Linked DNA regions of Arabidopsis thaliana. The protein of the gene in region 1 interacts with the protein of each later gene in a pairwise test. Each region holds a gene or a part of one and is shown on either strand. Other genes may lie near its edges.

Region 1 (8,824 bases):
GCGGCAGTCTTCGCGAGTGAGCTGAGAAATGTCCTCTTCAGTGAGTAGCTTCAGAGGTTTCGCAAGTATAGACTTCGCCGGTGAAACTCCGACATCCATCTCCTCCTCTTCACCGGAATCCCGGCGAGAGAGCAGTGGCGTTTCAGTAATAATCGGAGGTTTTGGGGGTAAAATTAGGAAGAATGAGAGAGAGCGGAACAGTGGCGAGAGAGAGTGAGGTCGAATAGTTTTTCCTATGGGGGAGTCAATTTGGGGGAATTGTTCCCGGAGCAGGGAAACTCCCTAGACTGCCACGTAAGCTCCACGTCTACATAAATTATTATAAGCCTAATCATGGCTGCTAAACTTGCTAAGTTTACTTTTATATCCCCTTTTTCTTCCATTCAACTACTGTTTATTGTAATCCATTAAGATAGGAGAATAAAATGATTACTCCAATTCTATAGACTATAGAGTTAATGTAGGTCGGATTTAAGGAGATTCCAAACTCTAAAAGGAAATTACAAAAGAAAGCCACAAATGTAAACGAAAACGAAAATCTTATGTCCAACCACAAATACACAAAACCACACTTTTCTTCCTTAGAACCGTGAACATGTTCGATAACAACAACCACCAAACGAACCATCCTTAAAACCGTCAGCATGTTAAGATACACAACAACAACCAAACGAACCATGGTTTAGATTAAACCAAAGAAGTTGACGCGGTTGGACGTATTACTTCTTATTAGTTTCTTCTAATTTGTTGGTTTTTGAAAAGCAAATAAAAAAGAATAGAGATTTGTGTAAAAACTCAACATATTGCACATAGGAACGAACGTAAGACAATATGAATCCCAATGTAATCTTTTCGTATATGGGATACGACAAAGATGGTAAAGAGAGACATATCAGAGAGTGTAACTAAGTTTACAACAACTCAAGCATACCAAAAGCCATCATTCTACACAGGAATACATATAAATATCCAATACTTGACAGGAAAGCTTTCTTTATTGTAGGCCTTGTTTATAGATCCTTGTTTCAGAAAGCCAGATATAGAGAGAGGAAGCTCTCTAAGCCGAGGCATTGATCATGAAGTTATCGACATATTCTTTCCTGTAAAATATCAGAATTTATTTCTCGTAAAATAACAGAATTTCTTGCTTGATTATATATCCCATTGTTTGCATAAGAGAACAAACAAAAGGGGAAAACCCAGGACATTGTACCTTGCAGGAAGATGGTCGTGTGGGCGATTGTATGGTGTCCATACCGGTTCACCCACGAATAGCCGCATTGCCTGTTCAACAAGATATTTCAATTTTCTAAGCAAGCCCAAACTATAAAATAAATGGCTAGAAGAAAAGCTGACATTGCACCTTGATATAGTTGTCAGAGTCCACAGTGAAGCGATGATAGATCCCAGCAGGTAAGACTATCATACCTCCCTTCTTTACCAATACCCTAATCCAAGCTTCATTACGATCTCTCACATCAAAGTAACCTTTTTCCCAAGAAAATAAAACATGACTACTATATCGAAATTTTAAGTTTACGAGTAAAGCCGCCAGTAAAAGAAGTTCTTACCAGTTCCTGCAACGCAGTAACGGATCTCCTCATCAGTGTGTAAATGTTCTTCGAAAAAGCTCTTCACTTTCACTTCATAGTTTGGAAGCTTTTCCGGGCATACCTCACAAAAGTCCTGCATTTTGAACACTTTTTAATCATCAAACCAAGATTGAGAAAACCCCTAGAGAGTTAAAATAAGACTTGGACAAAAATAAACATCTACCATTCAAGTCTAGTGGGATAGTAAATAAATAAAGACCACAAACCATGTAAGAGTAACCACGAGATTCACGGATCTTTTTCAAATCCTCATCGGTTTCATAGTTATCAGCATCAAGTCTCCAGCTAAGTACTCCCAGCTCTGCACACAAACATTACATGTGAAACAAAATAGAGAAGCAGAGAGAACAACATTGAATTGAAACACACAAAGAGGGGGACCTGCAAGTTTGTCCAACGATACAAACTCTTTAGGATCCTTGTGGTGAGGAAGTCTCTGATCCTCTTCACTATCATCCATATACCAAGCTTGAATCACTTCTTCTCTCCCATCCTAAGCAAAAGCACATCAAGATGGGATTAGATTCCTTGGGAGGCAATGTTCAGATATTTTATATTTAATCTGATTTTAGCTTCAAAACTTCAGACAATTCGAGAAATCGTCAATTGCATAACTAAATTGAATACGAATAGGCATTAAACTGACTGCGAGATTTGAGCAAAAGAAGTAGTTATGATGATTCGAAAATCGTCGAAAATGAATCAAATCACTCAGATAACAATCGACGATTCATGCTTGCATCGCAAAACTAGGAATTATCGATTGGCATTAACAGATCAGAAGCAGAGGAGACAAAGATAAAAACATACCTTGACCGCTTCACCCATCGTGTTCCTCGTGATGTCTTAGTCCTTCTTCGTCTTCAAAACCACCCGATTACTCGATTCTTCTTTTTAAAACAGGGAAAAGATCAAATAAATAAAAATCTTTGGTTAAAAAGACTAAACTACCCTTATTTCTCAACTTTATAGAAGAATGTTGCAAATCTCAGACATATCACATACATCATGCCATGAAAATAGACAAATTAATTATCTCATACATATCAATCACAAAGAAGTTGTGTTACTTGGACCTCAAAGATTGGTATCATCAATAAGGTCTCTCTCATTATAAGACAAGCATTTACATAATACAAACCGCCACATCCTCTCTCTCTCTCTCGCGTCTCTCTAACCTACTCAAAACTACAGACCAAAAAAGATGGACGCAACCCGTAAAAAAAACAAAACCATACAAGACCCGCACTGATCCAGCTCAAATCTTTAACCCATGTTTCTTCCACAATGAACGAGAACATTCATTGTTTGCTTTCTTTCTTTTTGTACATGGCTAACATGTTATAAGAACATGAAATTGTTCTTCCCGCCTTTTGACCCGTAGTACCATCTCCAGTTCTTTTGGCACCTTGTTAATTATCTATAAAAAAGCGAATGAGAGTTTTAAGGGAGATCATTGGAACCATTTGACAAATGCTTGTTCATACCTTCGCTGTTTAGATCACTGTTTAGATCAACTGAGATATTGGGACTTTTTGTTTGATTTTCAGGTGACTCGCAATGCCCTGTGCCACTAAGGTTTTGTGAATATGCAGCGTTCATCCGTGGCTGACGATTCAGAAACATCTCCAAGCTAGAGGACGCAACTCCTGGAGCCTTCTTGGTCTTAGAAAATCTTCTGCTCAGAAAGAAAGGTATCAGTATTCATCGATTTGGAATAAGCAAGCACACAGCATAATAGCAACAACTACCTGTCTTTCCGCTTTTCAAGATATCTTTGCAACGATACTTTTCTGTTCGCCTGACCCTCAACATCTTCAGAAAAGACCAACAAAAAGAACAATAGTTAAATTAACAGAATTTCATGGTCGTATATCATGCAGAACAAGCAAGTAGTTTAGCGTAGCATGTAGAGGTGAAGAGGTGGACCAAATTTCGCTCTCAGGTGTTTTAAAGCATCATTGAATAATAGGATTTCATATCTTTAAGGTAAAATGAGTACTGTTTGTACCAGAATCACGAGAAGCAGGTGCCTTTTCAAGTCCATATTGGGGAAGCTCCACCATCTTCTCTGAAAAAATCAAATCACAATTTCAAAAAAAGGGGCACGAGGCATCTGTAGACACATAAGCTAGTAGAGGTAGCAGCAATTACAGCATTTAGACATGCTTCTTTGGTAATTTAACAATGCCTCCTTTCAAAATTGGACAAAATGAAAGGCCGTGTTTGACATAAGAAAGAAAGAAAGACTCATCTTGAGATGCAGCAGCTCTAGTCATTTTTTCAAGTTAGATTATACATTAAAAAAAAAACTCATTTCAAGTCTGAATCATCAATCTTTCAACTGAAAAGCAGATCAGACACTTTAGCAAATGCTTACCTTTACTCATGGGTTTCGAAATCATTCTACTAGAAGCAAAAATACCATTTTCAGGCAAATCAATTGGATTGGCTGCAAAATGCATGATAGACCGGGCCTGCAAATCAATACACAAGATGAATGATCAAAACCATACCATCAAAATTTATATTTTCAGGCTGGACAGAATTATGTGATTCATTTACCTTTTCAGGTGGTACTCCATCATATACATTCACTTTGCCACTATAAAATATCGTCATTTGCCCAACCACCGCATTTGTTTCAGCTGGGCTTCTGATGCAACATTACAAAAAAGCGTGTTTAAACAACTTAATTAAATAACATTGGAGTAGTAATTTGTTTATAAAACAACATGCACCTAATATCAATAAGACTTTGTACATGAACTACCCCTAAAACTCTTGTTAGTAATTGCAGAATTCACAAATCATATAGACTAATGGACTAAGTAACTGATTTATCGTTCACTAGCAATAATCACATCACATCATACCAATCCTCAAAACAGAAGAGTAAAGAGTAACACAGAACCAAGAAGATCTATCTGACTCTTTTAACCTAAATTCTGTGTGACCAATCCACCATCAAAACCATGATTCATATAGAAACTTTTCAATGTCTAAGACACTGATATCAAACCAAGTACTTATTCTAAGATCACAAACAGAATGTCACAATGCATCAGTTCTCTTCTTGAGGCATGAAAGCAGAAGAAAGATACCACACAAAGTCAAAACGCTATAGAAGAAAATGTAAACCTGGGGGAAACAGAAACAGTCTTGTGGCTATCTTTATCCGCAACAAACTGACCAGAACTACCAGAAAACTCAGCTGATCTTGGAGAATCCCTTCTATGGCACGCACCATCATCTTCCTGTAAAGGAATCCTTCCACAAGCTTCGAGCTCGTTCCTTGGCTCAATCAACGTTGTTGTAACCTGTGAACAAAACAGCAGTACACACAGAACAACAATTTTCCCTAAATCAGCACCAACCAAGTAAACGATTCTCTACTACTTCAGAACTTAGATTTTTCTCTGTAAATCGAAACAAAATCGAAGAACAACACTCACGCGAGGCGGATTTGGCGGCTGAGAAACAAGGATCTTGCGGAGGATTCCGGCGCCGGAATCATCTCCAGGTTCATAGAGAGCTTTAAGAGATAAAACTTGCTGGATCGCCTGAGATTTATTCCACGAAGGCCTGCGCATTCCTGTTTCGACACGTGTCAGCCGCCATTCTCCAGAGAGCGAAAAAAAAAGCTCGGAGAGAAGAAGAATAGAGAATTTCAAAAAATTGACTATGTACGATTCTTCTCAGCAAAATCCGTGAGGAAGATCCTACCGTCGAAGACAATAAGACCGGAAAAAAATGGAGAAAGGAAGAAGAAGAAACCTTTCTCTTTGAGGAATTTGCGGCAATCTTCGCGAGTAAGCTGAGAAATGTCTTCTTCAGTGAGAAGCTTCAGAGGCTTCTCAAGTATAGACTTCGCCGTAGTAACTCCTACATCCATATCCCTTGTCAGATTCCGGCCAAAACGGCCTCACCGGAGTCCCGACGAGAGAGCAGTGGCGTTTTCGTAATAATTGGAGGGTTTTGAGGGCAAAATTAGAAGAGCGAGAGAGAGAGAGAGAGAGAAAGAAAGAGAAAGAGTGAAGTCGCTAATAGTCTATGGGCTTCAATTTTAGGGGAATGGTTTTTGGAGCAGCGAAGCTCCCTAGACTGCCACGTAAGCATCCTATTAGTCTCTCTAGATTATAGCCTAATCATGCATTGCTTAAGTATCCCAATTATTTTTTATTTTTTGGGTAAATCTTATGCTGATTATTTTTTTCGCGTCAAACAGTGAAATAAAATAGTAAATGGTAACAGTTTTATATTAAATTTAAATATAATAATAGCATGAGTGATAAAGAAAAATGACACGAAAGAAAACAGAGATTATTTTGTAATCAGAGAGTATCTTGTTTGTTTATTACTGAGTGGATGTCAATTTATCTAAAATCGCATACGATCAATTTGCATGTGATATTTTGATTAAACAACTAATTATTTCTATAAATGGATAAGAGTTATTCCAAAAATAGAACAAAATATCTTTTGTGTTTTGTTTGTATACTACTTTAGTCTAGATGGACAATCATCAATTCTTGGTTAGTGTTTTTTTCCTGGTTTTACAATTCTTGGTTAGTATCTCTAAAAAATGGAAGATCATGTCACTTATACGATTATTACTTGTTAGTTAGCAGAACCTCCAGCATTGCAACACTTCAACATGTCACGCAATTTTTGCAAAAAGATAATCATTCCAAACATTTTTGCAAACAGACAATTTTCAGTTTAAAACAACCAATCAAACCCTAAATGTAATCATGTTAAATGAGTTTTTTTTTTCTTAAAAAAACATCTCATAAACATGTTAACAAAAAATTTGTTAAGCTAATTTACTAGTTGATACTTTTAAAATGGATTTAGCATTTGTTTGGCAACAACATGTGTGCTATGAATTGGATAGCAAATTAGCAATACAACAAAAACACTAGCACAAACCATTTACTTTTTTGTTAAAGGATCTAGCACAAACCATTATACTAAAAAATCTCTTCGATATCCATATTCAGTAGATCATTTAGATGCATGTAAATGAAAATGGCTCAACACATAAAAACGAAGACTAGTCATTTTCTGAAGTGAATACCAAAACAATTGAAAAATACAAGAGATAGAGTAATAAATTGACAAGACGAAGGAGGAGAAATATATTTTCACATGAGTCTGACCAATATCGATTCTCCCTTAAACCTTGCTTGGTCTTGCGTGACATCCCTTCTCATTATCCAATATATAAAGTGATAATTGATAACAATGCATGATACATGTAATTATACTCGTGATGTACGATAAGGATTCATCACTCAATTCATCCAATGTCGTAATTGTCAAGATATACATGCATGAATAAACGAACAGTTGAAAACTTCTTTTTAAAATATAGTTTCGTCATCCATACATACGGTGATGTCCCGAAAAATGATTAGATAAGCAAACCATATTAATGCAACTTTTTCTTTTTAGATTACTATGAAATTTGGAATACTGATCCATAATTTTTTTGAACAAGAGAATGGAACGTGTAAACATTTTATTTTTTTTAACATCGAAAGTCGAACTTTGTGACTTTGAAGTTAATTCACTCTCGTTTGAAGGTTTTTATAACTTACCAACAATTGATATTGAAATATATAATATTAATCAATGGTCTTCAAAAATCAAAACTATCTACCTTATACTGTATATGCATATACCATTTTTTTTTTCTTTATTGTTATTGTTAACCAGAAATTTCTAATTTTTGGCTCATAGTTTTATGTCCATGGACTAGCATTTGATAATATATACTTATTGCGATTCCACAAACGTAAATCATCTCTCTCCATATATAGCACTTAAGACTCGACCTCATATTTGGTAGTACTGTTACAATACCCTCTAGCAAGTTGACAGCAATTTTCAATTTGCCAATAACTTGTAAATCGTAAAAACTTAACATAAAAATTGGGATATAGAATTGACTATTGAGAGTAGTGGAAGATATGAGATAAAGAAGAGGGAAACAAAAAAAAAACAGAGTGGAAATAGGAAGAGTCGTTATCGAAGAAATGGATCCAAGTTGGTACCATACCTTTAATCTAAAGGATGCATCCGCCATTTCTATCGACACCACTCACCAAACCCTACCCAAATTTATTTTTTTCTTAAAGGTTTTTAAATTATATATTGTTGACTTTATTATGATGTGCTTTAAAAAAAAACAATATTGTGATTTTGTAATTGACCATGAATATGAGAGGTTTTGGAATATAACATATAGGTGAACTACTAGCCAATTGTTAGTCGGATTACTGGTTTAATAAGATGATCAGAACAACTAAACTTGTAAACTTCCATCGATTACAACAATCTTGTGAGGCTAACTTGAAGTAGTTCACCATTTTGGTTGGTGAACACTATATATGTCAATTTATGTTCTCTAATATATATTTTCTTGTTTGGTTTTCTCAATATGTGTTGTCGAGTCGAAAGTGATTAATTGATCGAGCTCAAGATCTTGCTATTAAGGCGAAGTAAAGATTGCAATTCATATTGCTGTATCCTAACAAATGTGATGGTCTCTTATCGTTCTAACATCTCTCTTTCAGATTTATATAAAAATATATATATTGTCTACAAAACTCATTCATCCACATCCAAAATTTAAAATTTGGATTATTACACAAAAGTAGATAAACCACTAGACAAATAATATCTAGTCGAATTAATTAAATTACTCGTCTAAATTATTAGCTTTTTAGATATATATATCTAAACTAAGGACTAAAGCTAGTTAGTGTAAATTTGACTTTTTTTTGTTCTTTGAAACTATGTGTAATATCTATTTTTTTGTAAATGCAAAGATAATCGAGTAATGAACATGAAAACTACTATATTATAAGGAAAAAAATGGTATTTAAATAAAAAAATATGAATAGTGATTGAAGAACCGTACAGGTTATGTTTGTGCAGGGAGAGGGGTCGCGAGTGCGTGGGTCGGGTACAGAGGATGAGTCAGTGAGTCAGGACCTGTTTCCCCCTTTGTAGGGACACTTTTACCATCCTTTAATGGGCCTATTCTTTTCATAGGCCCATTTAAATCATATCAGTCAGTCTTTTTCTTGGGCCTCATCTTTGTTTTGTGGTTCTTGCGATTTGAACTATCTGATGGTGACTACAATTGGACGACCGCAGAACAACCCAACCGTATATGCTGTCTTTTGTGGGCAAATCTTTTT
Region 2 (6,083 bases), on another chromosome or scaffold:
TAATATTTTGAACTTTAAAAATCACTATTAAGAACAAGAAATCTAGTTAATATTAAGTTGTCATTAATACTTCGCTAAAAGACAAATAGTACAATTGTCCAACATATACAACAATTTATTTAATACATTGTTGGGTTTGGGACAAGAAAACCATTCAGATATGCTACGATGACATAATAAACAGAAAGCAAAATAGATATGCTCAAAGTGCATTAAGTTTATGACATGTCAATCAAATAAATGCAGCAAGGGAATCCACAAGACTCAGAAGAAAACCGTCTGAGCCATACTTAGCTACCAATGATACCGAAACCGGAAGATTTTCGTGTAGCCCCAATGGTATGCTCACCTATCATGGGAAAAAAACACCGGAAGATCAGACCAGTTCTTAACAGACTCCACAAGAAGGAAGATTGATGTTGTTATTACCTGACAGAATCCAGAAACGCCTGCGATCGACAACAAGCTGAAGGCTCTGCTGCGGAAAGATTCAAGTGCAGCCACATTAGCTTGGAGATGCGGTGGAGGACCTGGTACCGTTGGAATCACCAACACACCCTTCTCCTACAAAATTTGGTATGATTTACATAAAACCGGTCTACTGGTAAGTGTTTCAAACTGAAATTTGGAGAAAAAGGAATAAGTTAGTTGTACCCCGAGCAAAGTTGAAAGAGCCGTTATCAGTTCAGATTTCACGGACCGGCAATGGTCGATCTTCTCGTCGGATGTTCTGATAGCTTCCTCAATTCGTTCTGATATTCCAGGACCAAACTCTGGCTTCACCGACGAGATCCATGCACCGTGGTTTATCTTGAATTCATGTCTAAACTTTGGTTATGCCTATGTAATATATTAGAAATCGATAGAATGTAAAATGAGAAAAATGTTGTACCTTTGTAACAATCTCATTGAACTCGATAGGGCCATGAGAGACGGAATGCAGAACTCTTGTTGTGTAGTGACATCGTCACTTGTCATGAAATGTTTAAGGCTTGGAACATTCTGTCCAATGTACTCTCCAAGATTCACCTTCTTTACTACAGTGTTGCCTTGATACAGAACAAAATCATTAAGTAACAAAATCATCAAGGAATAATCTCTGACAACAAGTTCTTGTGATGCTTTTTACCTCCAAACGATTTTTCCACGGATCCAACCAGAGGCTGCACCAAGAGATCATGCGGTACACTACACAGCTTGAAGCAGTCATCCGCGATAATCAGTTGAGATGGTTCGATGGGGTTCAAGTGATGCTGCTGCAGGAGAACGCAACCTACACGTTTCAAAGTGGCTGTGTCCCGAGCAAACCATCCTAAAGACAATGTTGGATCCATCAATATCAAGATTCAGTTTAACCATTAACATCTCGGATTTTAGTTTTCGTTACCAACTGTGTCGAAGCTCTGAGCCATTGGAGTAAGTCCGACAGTGGAAACTGCACCGTGGGATGGCCGGAAACCGAAAATCCCACAGTAAGATGCTGGAACTCGTACACTCCCTCCGGTATCAGTTCCTGATTGATCAAAAACCAATTAGACAGGGAAGAAAAATACTTTATGATCAGTAGTATGGTTACAACTTTTGGCAATTTTTCTTCAGCTCACCAATAGAAAAATCCACAAGACGAGCAGCTACAGCTACGGCTGAGCCACTCGATGATCCCCCAGGCACTCTATCGAAAGCAATCGGGTTTCTCGGAGTCCCATAATGCGCATTTTCTCCGTTTATACTGCATATTAAGTAAGAACATGCTCAGAAAAAACGTAACAAACCTAGTCATATTTTAGTTCTAGCCTCTGTTATGACATATCCTGTTTCTTAAAACATGAACTCCTAAACCAGAAAAGATGTGAAATTGAACCTGTAAGCCATTTCATCCATAATGGTAATACCCAAAGCTGTGGCACCAGCTTCTAAGAGAGATGAAACTACTGGAGCTGTAGAAGTAGCTGCCGAGTGTGTCCTTAACCAATCCGGGTTACCAAAACCGGTAACGCGTCCTTCCACATCAAAACTGATCAAACCAAGCAATAAGCTCAAAAATTGATTGACAAGAAAGTATAGAAGAAACTCTGTAAGTAGTTGGATATCTTACATGTCTTTAATGGCGAAAGTAAGACCCTGTAGAGAAGGAGGCGACGAGGAAGTAGAAGTTGGAGAGATTGTAACTTTCTCAATGAAAGCTCCAAAATCATTATTGGTCGCCATTGATGCAGCTCCCTTTCTGAGAAGGTAGATGACGACCAAGTAACGCTTCTTGTAGATAAAAGCTATCACATTATTAACGCGGCTACAGTGGCCAAGTCATTTTCTATTTTGTCTTTTCCTTAATATTATTGTCCTTTTGTTTTAAATATCCAATGAGATACATTTTGTGGATAATAACTTAATATGTGTGATAAAGACACAGAAATTAACATTCAAATAAAAAAACTTTTGTCAAAAGCACACTTGTTTCTTACAGTTTATACATTCTTCTTTCTGGTTCATCCCTAAATTTCTCGTTTAGAAAAGGATCGATAGACATAAACACTTTAGATTCTTCTACAACACCCAATTTGACAATTCTGATATGTTCTTTTCATTTTCTTGTCTAAGGTCTCCCTCCTTTCACCTGGACGAGACTAGAACGCTGCAGGGAGAAAAGCGAATACACTATCACATTTTTACTTCAATAAGATAAGAATACCAAAACTGACATAGTACCAAACTGAGACGATACTGAAATAAGTTATACAAAGGTTACCATTATTCGAAAACAGAAACAAAACCCCAAGACTACAAGGTAGGCCTAAAAGAAGCTGGAAGACTCACAGTTTCTTGCTAATTTTCCTGGTCAGGTTGGTCAGGTGCCTGTTGTTGCCACATTGGTTGACCCATATAAGGATTAGGTGGATACGCACCACCGGGATTACCCATAACCATTCCCGGATTTCCTATTGGAGCAGTTCCTGCAGGCAAGTATCCATACGGGTAACCAGCAGCAGCAGCTTCCGGGACAGTGCCCCTCGGAATACTTCCCAAGACTTCATCTCGGAGATCCTCCCGGGGAACAATATCCACAAGGAAATCAAAAATATCGGTTCTAGTCACAGCAGCAGCAATATCGTTCTTCTGCAACGTCCGCCTCTTATTCTCCTCAGTGTGGTTCCACGACCTGAGTGTCAGCTCCAGGATGAACATCTCACAGGCCCTTGCAAACACGACAGGCGCCTCAGCCGAGATCATACGGACATCTTCATCCGCTTTCATGATTTTCTTGATTCTCGCAAGGGGAAGGCTGTGGTTCTTGAAATCGGTAGTCTTCTCAATCTCTTTGAATTGGTTCTCCCAAAATGCTTGAAGCTGCTGTGCCAGCTGTTGCTGCTGCTGCTGCTGATGGATCTGGTGGAACGCCAGCTGGCCTGGTTGTGCCGCACCTCCTGCTACAGTAGCAGCAGTGGTGCTCATCGGGTTGGTTTGGTATGGGTTTGTGCCATAGTTCATAGCTCCAGACTGTCCATGGTCTTGTTGATCCATTCACTACCAGAATAAAAAAACAGAACTTTGGGATTCATTCTAAGCTCTTAAGAAACATCTGACCAGAATTTTAAAGAAATGTGAAGGAGATAAGGTTGCTAACAAACAATTTACATAAATAAGAATCTGCTGAATTTACTTTATATATGGTCTAATCTGTAATTCTAGATTAACCTTGAAGATCTAAACAGCAATAAGTATGAAAATTGAGCTTCGAATTAAAAGACAATACATCAACCTACTTATTCCAACCCATAAATTTGATAAGGAAAACAGGAAAATATCGAAAGGGATTGCCTTTAATTTCCTTCAAAATAGACAGAACAAAGAATCTGCTAACACAGAACAACTAGAATTGTTCCTACAACACCAAGCATATTATTTTATCATGTGAATTCCACAATATATAAGTAAGAACAAGTCAAATTGAAAAAAAGAATCTGCAAACGAGAGTGACCTGTGGAAAGGAGAATCTGAAGGGGAAGAGACTGGTTGATCCTCTTGGTGGGTAGAGAGAGTTTTAAGATCTGGTTTTTTTGTGTTAATTTGTTGTGATTTTATTAGGGTTTTGCTGCTTTACCCTTTTTTCGACTTTAACAATGAGGAGGAATTTAGAAAGACAAGGGGAAGTAAGTGGAAAGAGCTTTAAAAGCTGGGTGTCGTGTCAACCATTGGGCTTATGTCAAGATTCTTCTGCTCTTGTCAGATCATGATTTGTTTTATCTCTTACATTAATTAATTCATTTTTATTATCTTCTTAGGATTTAATTGGCAACCTTTAATTATCTTCTTTGGAGGTTCAAATTTCACAAGTAGTTTTGTTGTATCACAACATATTTGGCATTCACAGAGAATCAAATCACATAAAAAAGAACCAGAATCAACATTTTGTTCTGCTCTAATACACATTCTAGGATCAATGAAGTATTTCTCATTAATATCAAAAGAATACAAATGTGTGGTTTATACATATATAACAGACCCAAAAAAACAAGACCAGTACAATCAATGGAAAAGTAAACCAGATGGGGGAGTCAAAATCTTCTCCCAAAGCACATATATTTTACCATCACCTATCTACCAAACTTTACTAATCTGGCTCGGACGATCACAAGAACTTTTTGTGGGATTCGAAGATTACTGGTCTGGCGGTGGCCATCAGCTGAGCTCAAAATTTTGGCAATTCCCTTCTAGACAACAAAAATTCCTAAACAATGAACCCTGGTTGACCCTAGATTATTCAATGTGCAGACTTCACGCATATGATCAGGTTGAAACGCTGGCGATGATCAAACTAACAAATGTGAAAGCAACATACAGTCCAACAAGACAGATCCCCCAGAATCTCGGAACTCGGAATCTAGACCAGGTTATTACCAACAGAGATCCCATTAGACTAAGCAACAAGAAGACGAAAGCTATCACAATACCTACATGGAATCCAAGTTTGTAAGCGTCTGGATATACATTAGCTGTTTGCATCACCAAGGCCGATCCAAGTCCAACAAGCATGTTAAACATTGGACCTGCAAAACAACCGGCCATAGCCATTGCTGGTCTACCTGCCTTTGCAACTGCCACGTCAGCAACTAGGTCACCAACCGAGTTTCCCCAAGCAAGAACGGTTAGGCCAAGGAGCGCCGGAGGCAGTTTAAGGAGGGTTCCAAGCGCAGCCAAGCAGTTAAGGAGCTCACCAGCAATTGTTGATATCCAGAAAACACTCATTATGAAAGCTACAACAATGACCGGCAGTTGCTCGGTTTTTGGTGGTTGTTTTTCTACTGTGAAGTGGAGGAACGCTAGGGAAGACGTCATGAAGAGGACAACAAGCCAAAGCGGGAGATGGGTGTTTGGAAAGAGGAATGAAATTGGGTGGTTTAGTTGTACAAAAGAGTTGCAAGTGTATAAAAGGGCAAAAGGGCAGAAAACAATGTTGGCAGAGCGATAAAACCTAGACCATTCCGAAGGAGAAGGTTTTGGGATGGTAAGGTTCAAAAGAACTGATACAGGAGTTTCCCACATCCTCGAGATCTGCAATCACAGCAGCAAAAGCAGAATCAGACAACCTTCACTAAACTTATTTCAAACTTAAATGCAGTCTAACAGAAAAAATATAGTAACCTGGATAAGATCCAAACAGGTAAACTCCTTTAGAGTCGAATTCACCAAAGGAATACATATCATAGAGAGACTTGATTAACGAGTCTTGACCAGTTCCCAATCCTAAACCCTACGAAATTCTCTCAAACTCATTTTGCCCAACTTCTTTCTAACATGTTAGCTCTCTAGCTAACCGATCTAACGATTGCTCCTGAGCTGTCAACACAGCTACAATCCAGTTGAAAACGCCTAAGCAAGTGAAAATGCTCATTCACTAGACTAACACAGAGACTTATCATAACCTTAGAGTACACTAAGAAGAAAACAGGAAGCAAATTAAAACCTTTAAACGCATAATCTAAACTAAACAATATCGGAGTTCACAATTGGTAGCTGAATATGATACTACCATAAAATTCCAGCATTATGATCGATAAACAAAGCTCAAAGATGAGTGAAGAAGA
Region 3 (6,982 bases), 5.8 Mb from region 1:
GGAAATGATGCAGAAGACTCAGAGTTGAGTGAAAATTCAGAAAATTCAGAAAGTTCAGTGTTCAGTGAAGCTACAACAGAAACAGAAGCTGCTGACAACACTAATGATCAAAGTCATCCTATGATAACAAGGTCTAAATCAGGCATTTTCAAGCCAAATCCCAAATATGCTATGTTTACAGTAAAGAGTAACTACCCTGTACCAAAGACAGTCAAAACAGCTCTTAAAGACCCTGGATGGACTGATGCAATGGGTGAAGAGTATGACTCTTTTGAAGAAACACATACTTGGGATTTGGTTCCACCTGACTCGTTCATTACTCCTTTAGGCTGCAGGTGGGTTTTCAAAACGAAGCTAAAGGCTGATGGAACTCTTGATAGATTAAAGGCTCGTCTTGTTGCTAAGGGCTATGAACAAGAAGAAGGAGTTGATTACATGGAGACTTATAGTCCAGTGGTTCGCACAGCCACAGTGAGAACAATCTTACATGTTGCAACCATTAACAAGTGGGAAATCAAGCAACTTGATGTTAAAAATGCCTTTTTACATGGTGATTTGAAAGAGACTGTGTACATGTACCAACCTCCAGGTTTTGAAAATCAAGACAGACCTGATTATGTGTGCAAGCTCAACAAAGCCATTTATGGTCTTAAACAAGCTCCGAGAGCTTGGTTTGACAAGTTCAGTACTTTTCTCTTGGAGTTTGGTTTCATCTGTACCTATTCAGATCCTTCTCTGTTTGTGTTTCTGAAAGGAAGAGATCTCATGTTCCTCTTGCTCTATATGGACGACATGCTTCTCACAGGCAACAATAGTGAACTGTTGGACACACTGCTTGTCTCTCTGAATAAAGAGTCCGCATGAAAGACATGGGAATGCTGCATTACTTTCTCGGAATTCAGGCTCATTTTCACTGAGAAGGGTTGTTCTTGCATCAAGAGAAATATGCTATGGATCTCCTTGTTGCAGCAGGAATGGCAGATTGTGCCCCAATGCCAACCCCTTTGCCTCTTCAATTGGATAAAGTTCCTGGTCAACAAGAAAGCTTTGCTGATCCTACTTATTTTCGGAGCTTGGCTGGTAAGTTACAATATCTTACTCTTACTCGTCCTGACATTCAATTTGCAGTCAATCTTGTGTGTCAAAAGATGCATTCCCCCACAGTTGCTGATTTCAATCTCCTCAAAAGAGTCTTACGCTATCTCAAAGGAAAAGTTCAAATGGGTCTCAACTTACACAACAACACGGATATCACTTTGCGTGCTTATAGTGATAGTGACTGGGCAAACTGCAAAGAGACTAGAAGATCTGTTGGTGGTTTCTGCACTTTTCTTGGCACTAACATAATCAGTTGGTCTGCAAAACGTCATCCAACAGTCTCAAGGTCCTCAACAGAAGCTGAGTATAGGACCCTCTCTATCGCAGCTACAGAAGTGAAGTGGATCTCATCTTTGCTTCGTGAAATAGGCATCTATCAACCTGCACCACCGGAGTTGTACTGTGACAACCTCTCTGCTGTCTACCTCACTGCAAATCCAGCAATGCACAACCGGTCTAAGGCCTTTGATGTTGATTTTCACTATGTTCGAGAACGTGTTGCCTTGGGAGCTTTGGTTGTCAAACATGTCCCTGCTTCTCATCAACTTGCAGACATCTTCACCAAGTCTCTTCCCCAACGTCCATTCTTTGACTTAAGGTACAAACTTGGCGTTGTTTTACCTCCCACACCAAGTTTGAGGGGGTGTGTGAATCAGAGAGAACCTCCTCTACAATCAGAAGCTTTGCTTTCTGCGAATGGACCTGCAACACTCAACAATACTTTGGGCCTCAGTCAAAGTGTCAAGCCCATCAACCTCAAGTCTTCTCTACCTTGCAACGGTAACAAGATTCCTCAATTTCCAGCGCATCAACGTACGGGATTCACAGCTAATCATTTGTCCCTTCATAACAAATTTGATCCTCTTTGTTCCTCTGTCGTGATGTGCAGCTAATGACGTGTGACCTAGTGTCTCACCATTTTGGGGTTCATATATAAACCCTTCTCTGTCATTGTAAACCTTAAGCTGAAATATTCAATAAAGAGATTTCTCTTCATCATCGTTTTATCAATACTTTCACTATTTTAGTCTTTCAATTACTTCTTTGTTATAGAATTTAACCACAACATTATCAATTTATTAACTATTAAGTAAGAGTTTGACATTATTCTTGCAGGTTTTCTGTACAACCAACCGTATCAATGGTATCAGGTTTTGACATGACATTACATAATTGAAGGTTTTGCTGTCGTTACATAGTAGTCAAAATCAAAGTGAATTATTTTACCAAAATAGTTGTTTAGATTTTAACCAAAGGAACAAAGGACACCGATAATGTTATGGTTATATATAATTTCCTTTCAACCAAAAAACAAAAAGGAAAGAAGAGGATTACATAAGGAATTGTGATGAAGTAGAGAGATTACAACAACATAACAGAAAGCTCAGTTAAAAAACTTTGGCTTGAGAGTTTGATCCGACTAAACATAATAAAATGTATGTTCCAAAAAGAAACTCATTACAAACCCTTCCATTTGTTTACAAGATTTCAGACATCTTTTTTTCCGGTGGTGACTTTTCAGGTGTGAGCTGACGCTGCAGTCATTCCCATGGATGATTCTGGGCTAACGTACTCCTCGCTTGCGTGCCGTACAAACTCCTCCGGTGACATGTGCGAGCCGTGGCAAGCGCATACGATTTTGATCTGGTTTGCGTTGTACCGGTATGTGACACCTGAGATTGTCCGTCCGTGTGGGCCTGAACCAGTGGTTGAGACCCACGGTAAGTTGGGACGTGCCCCGGATCCTCCAAACTTCACATCTGCTGCCATTCCAGGTTTTATGGCAGAAAAGTCGAAAGAGAAAGCGGTATTGAGGTTGCTGTTGTCTCCCGTTGGTCGTTCTGATGCATCCTCGGATGAACCTTCTTCTGCAACAGGTTGTTTGCCTTCGCCTTTTGCAGTAGCTTTTTGGAAGGAAAAGTTACTATTTTTGCTGTAAGAGTACTAAATCGTGTTTTAAGGGAAGGTTTTGCTTACCTGAGTTTGATGGAACTCTTCCAGCAAATGGAGATTGAGAAAGTGCGACAATCCCTCCTGAACCGTCCTTATCTAGCATAGGGAGCTGGACTGGTGAGTATCCGAACATAATCGGGAGATTTCCAGCATTAGCATTAGGCTGCAATAGACTTGTAGCTGCTGCGTGTTGTCCAGACTCTTTTGTCGGTAAAGAGTAAGGCATACTAGTGACGACATTTTGCGGATGAACTGTGAAAGGTACGGTGTAACTCATGTTGCGCATTGTAAACTCTTCAGTGCCAGATCCACCATGGTTGCTCCTCCTTTGACCAGTTAAGTTGTCCACAATGTTTGTATCAGTAGGAGGACGAACCACCTCCTTTGCGTGGTTGGAAGAAGAACCACCACCTACTTCAGACTCTGCTACATCTTCGTTTTCAGCTGTTGATCCTTCATCTGTCGCAGTTGAAACATGGGATGCTTTTGTCTTCTTCTCATGCATATCAACATGAGACGAGTCCTTCTCTTTTTTCTTATCATCATTCATCCCCGGGAACCCGAACTTTCTTTTGTTCCCTGCTTCTTTCCGTGACTCATCCTCCACCCACAAAGGTTTCGTAGAAGCTTCAGCCTCAGTTGTAGGAGCTTTTGAGAGGTCATTGAAGAAATTTTGTGGAGGCTGTTGACCCGAATCACTTCTCTGAGAACCAGAACTCGGCTCTGCAGGTCTTTGAGAAGTTGGATGCAGGAAGTTCTTAAAGTCATCAATCACTTTAGCACTTCTATCGCCTCCTTCTGCCCTGTAGTTCTCTGAGGAGCTTCCAGCATTATTATTATTGTTACCCTTAGCTTTTCCTGTTGATCCTCCACAAGAAAGACCCAAGCTGAGCTCGAGCCCATTATCATCGTCCATTTTTTCTCAAACTTTTTAAGCAAACTCTGAGCAGGTCAACAGATCTTCAGAGCACCGTCAACAATCTTGATTACCATCTGAGAAAAATACATCATGGGCAGAAAAGGACTCATTATCCAAAGCTAACCAATGGTTTCTAGAAAAAAGAATCAAACGCAAAGCTAAGAACTTTGAGAATCATAGATGGCTGCGGAAGTAAACTTCTTCTAAATTTATAAAAAGAAACACATCTGCTTGAACTTGCAACAAACATCACATGCTTTGCCAAAATCAATCCTAGTATTCAGTATAACAAATTAACAAGCTACCAGAACTCTCAGAAACATTGGACTCGGATAGTACCTTAGAAACAAAACCATTGAAAGAAACAATTCAGCAATTCTCCAGAAACTTTCTTCTCGCTCCTACCAAGTACCTTTTGAGTTCTGTGATAACAAAAAAAGACCATTTCTACAACTTAGGTTCTGAAAACCCCCAATATTCATCATTTCCATTTTGAGAAACTAAACTAAAATGGAAACAAAGCAAAGACACACATCACTCACACTTGTATGTCAGCTAACAAAAAAAAAAAAGGAATCAAAATCCAGAAATCAGAGTGAGAGATAGCACAAAGATCTAGTAACTGATAAGACACTATGCAGATCTGTCAGCTAAACGAGCTACATACGAAGAAACAAATCAATTGACTTTCTAAAGATCGAAATCATCAAAAGAATCATAACCTAGACGCGATCAGATTAAAACCCTGACCCCTAACTACACAGCAATAATGCCAAATCAGCTCAAATTAAATCACAATAAGCCGAATAAAGCTAAAACAGAAGCCGAAATCAGAATCGAGAAGATGAAAACCTGATGAAACCGAGGAAGAAGACGAACAAACCCTAGAGCTTCTTCGCAGCGTGGCGGCTCCTAGACAGTTGCATCAGCGATTGGGGCTTCTTCGGGTTCGGACAACTAGTACGGACCATTTCCCTTTTCCCTTCGTAATACTAATAATTATTATTTTATTGTACAATTAGTTTCGATTTCGTCCATGTGTATCTTGTGCATTTTCTTAACTTTTGAATAAATAACAATCGTATAGTCAGCATATATACTACATGTTTGCAATCATGAATATATTTGTACATTGTACATGTCCAATGCATGAATAGAAATACATGGGCCCAATTTTCTTTTTAAAGCCAAACTAGTCCATAACTATTCACATCTACCAACAGATTTTTCATTTCTTTAACAAGTTTTAGAGGAAACACATATGACATATCTTATGCGTTTTTATAAAGATATACTAAAAAGTTGGTCACATAGTATATAATCTATATTTTCTAGTCACCACTTTCTTTAGAATAGTTGGATAAGAGAGACAACATTACAAGATATGCTAAAACGATTTAATTACTCCATATGTGTGTAAATCGTCACTTAATTTAATACTTCAAAATTTCCTTCGAAAAAGACATAGCTAAAGATATGTGGGGATAATATATATATATATATATATAATAGTATCAAAAGCTGTTTGCCAAAAAAAAAAATTCAAAACGATAGGTTTATATATATATATATTTTAGATTGATTCATGATCAATAAAGTCGCTTTGGCCGAGTGGTTAAGGCGTGTGCCTGCTAAGTACATGGGGTTTCCCCGCGAGAGTTCGAATCTCTCAGGCGACGTTATCATTTTATTTTTGATATTTCCAGCTTTTTTTTCTTTGTCAGGCTTTTCCAGTTTTTTTTCCTCCTAAATTGACATGGTTTTATTTTTTTTGTACAAAAAATTGACATGTTTTTTTTTTAATACAAAAATTGACATGTTAAGACTTAAGACTAAAGAGGAAATTGGAAATTGGAAATTTGAATATTATAAAATAAAATTATCTTATGTTGTAAAATTTTAATGGCATGAAAATATGTTACTTATGTAAAAATAAAATAATGAAAACAAACATGGTTAATAATATTGAAAAGCTACAACATGAATAAATATATACTTTGATTGACTCATAAGCAATAAAGTTACATGGTTTTTTTTTTATTATTTCTGATGCTATTATTCATAGTTTTATAAGTTTGAAAAATAAATTAAAAAGGATCATTAACAATTCAAAGGATAAATAGACTTGTTTCTCTCTTTTTAATCGTCATATTAAATACCATAAGATGTCGAATTTTTCAACCTAATGTCTACGTTGATGATGTTGTGGCTATCCACCGTGAGACGGTGAAGAAGACCCCTCACCGTCTCCCACATACAAAATCGCCGCCGCCTATCACATTGTTTCAAAGAAACTCCTCCTCACCGACTTGCTCTCAATAGAAGTGAACTCCCATCTCCCAACCCTAGTCCCAGGAGCCTCCATCATCGTTACCAACAATTCACGATAATACAACTCTAAATATTATTCTCTCAGCTTCAACTTCTCATGAAAATCATATATGTTTTGTTACTCTTCAAAAATCCAAGGAATAAAATGATAGAAAAAAATATATTCTTAGAGCTCTTGGTGATTTCATACTTGTCTTGATTGATATCACAATATTCAGAACAAGTAATCACAAGTAGAAGACAAGCTTTAAAAAGAGGAAGAAGAAGAGACTTGTAGTTATTGCATTGAGAACAAGTAATCACAGATTCACAGTATAGTCGTCATCAAAGGACTTGAAGTCAACCCTACGGTAACTTTTTATTGAGCAGCAGAGGATGAGCATTCCGGTTCAGGTTTACTCTAGGGCGGTTCATCCTCCCCAATTAAATCGCTTGGTATGGCTTGCCAAGAGTCAACTTCTAGACGAATGTGTCCCGGTTTTCCATCCATGGCTTTCCGTACTATTGTTTGGTACTCGACATGCTTACCACTCGGATGATGATCACCACTGCCCTTGAAACCCATGTAGAAGATAGCGTTGTTGGCCTTGAGCTTCAAGTGCGGCGACTCTTCACAGCTCTTCCGAGTCTGTACAATTACATACTTGATCTTTAATGGTAGAAAACTCCTCACCAGCGAGC

What was found. The genes of interacting proteins can lie anywhere in the genome.
Region 2: the proteins of AT4G14720 (region 1) and NF-YC9 interact in binary tests that used the Arabidopsis thaliana proteins (3 or more experiments, as listed by UniProt).
Region 3: the proteins of AT4G14720 (region 1) and NINJA interact in binary tests that used the Arabidopsis thaliana proteins (3 or more experiments, as listed by UniProt).

What each region holds. Positions count from the first base shown.
Region 1 is NC_003075.7:8,429,427-8,438,250, forward strand, and holds AT4G14720 (TIFY domain/Divergent CCT motif family protein), read right to left. Parts: upstream 5,680-8,824; 5' UTR 5,509-5,679; coding exon 5,391-5,508; intron 5,209-5,390; coding exon 5,069-5,208; intron 4,934-5,068; coding exon 4,755-4,933; intron 4,270-4,754; coding exon 4,179-4,269; intron 4,091-4,178; coding exon 3,994-4,090; intron 3,685-3,993; coding exon 3,625-3,684; intron 3,429-3,624; coding exon 3,365-3,428; intron 3,292-3,364; coding exon 3,057-3,291; 3' UTR 3,034-3,056; coding exon of another isoform or gene 3,026-3,033; 3' UTR 2,547-3,025; downstream 1-2,546. Other genes in the region: PPD1 (TIFY domain/Divergent CCT motif family protein), read right to left, coding at 1-99; ARD1 (acireductone dioxygenase 1), read right to left, coding at 1,058-1,100, 1,214-1,284, 1,364-1,488, 1,572-1,686, 1,820-1,914, 1,995-2,106, 2,424-2,441. UniProt on the Arabidopsis thaliana protein: Regulates the arrest of dispersed meristematic cells during lamina development.
Region 2 is NC_003070.9:2,880,580-2,886,662, reverse strand, and holds NF-YC9 (nuclear factor Y, subunit C9), read right to left. Parts: upstream 4,173-6,083; 5' UTR 3,977-4,172; exon of another isoform or gene 3,523-3,976; 5' UTR 3,520-3,522; coding exon 2,824-3,519; 3' UTR 2,815-2,823; exon of another isoform or gene 2,633-2,814; 3' UTR 2,321-2,632; downstream 1-2,320. Other genes in the region: AMI1 (amidase 1), read right to left, coding at 233-349, 430-564, 655-823, 893-1,049, 1,130-1,312, 1,388-1,513, 1,605-1,729, 1,862-2,014 and 1 more; CAX11 (cation exchanger 11), read right to left, coding at 4,786-5,550. UniProt on the Arabidopsis thaliana protein: Stimulates the transcription of various genes by recognizing and binding to a CCAAT motif in promoters. Interacts with REF6 to directly regulate SOC1 transcription in response to flowering signals from photoperiod and gibberellic acid pathways.
Region 3 is NC_003075.7:14,261,714-14,268,695, forward strand, and holds NINJA (Putative interactor of JAZ), read right to left. Parts: upstream 5,074-6,982; 5' UTR 4,823-5,073; intron 4,432-4,822; exon of another isoform or gene 4,393-4,431; 5' UTR 4,310-4,392; intron 4,045-4,309; 5' UTR 3,968-4,044; coding exon 3,076-3,967; intron 3,003-3,075; coding exon 2,617-3,002; 3' UTR 2,321-2,616; downstream 1-2,320. Other genes in the region: AT4G28920 (hypothetical protein (DUF626)), read right to left, coding at 6,702-6,929. UniProt on the Arabidopsis thaliana protein: Acts as a transcriptional repressor. Negative regulator of jasmonate responses. Connects the JAZ proteins and the non-JAZ protein TIFY8 with the TOPLESS corepressors.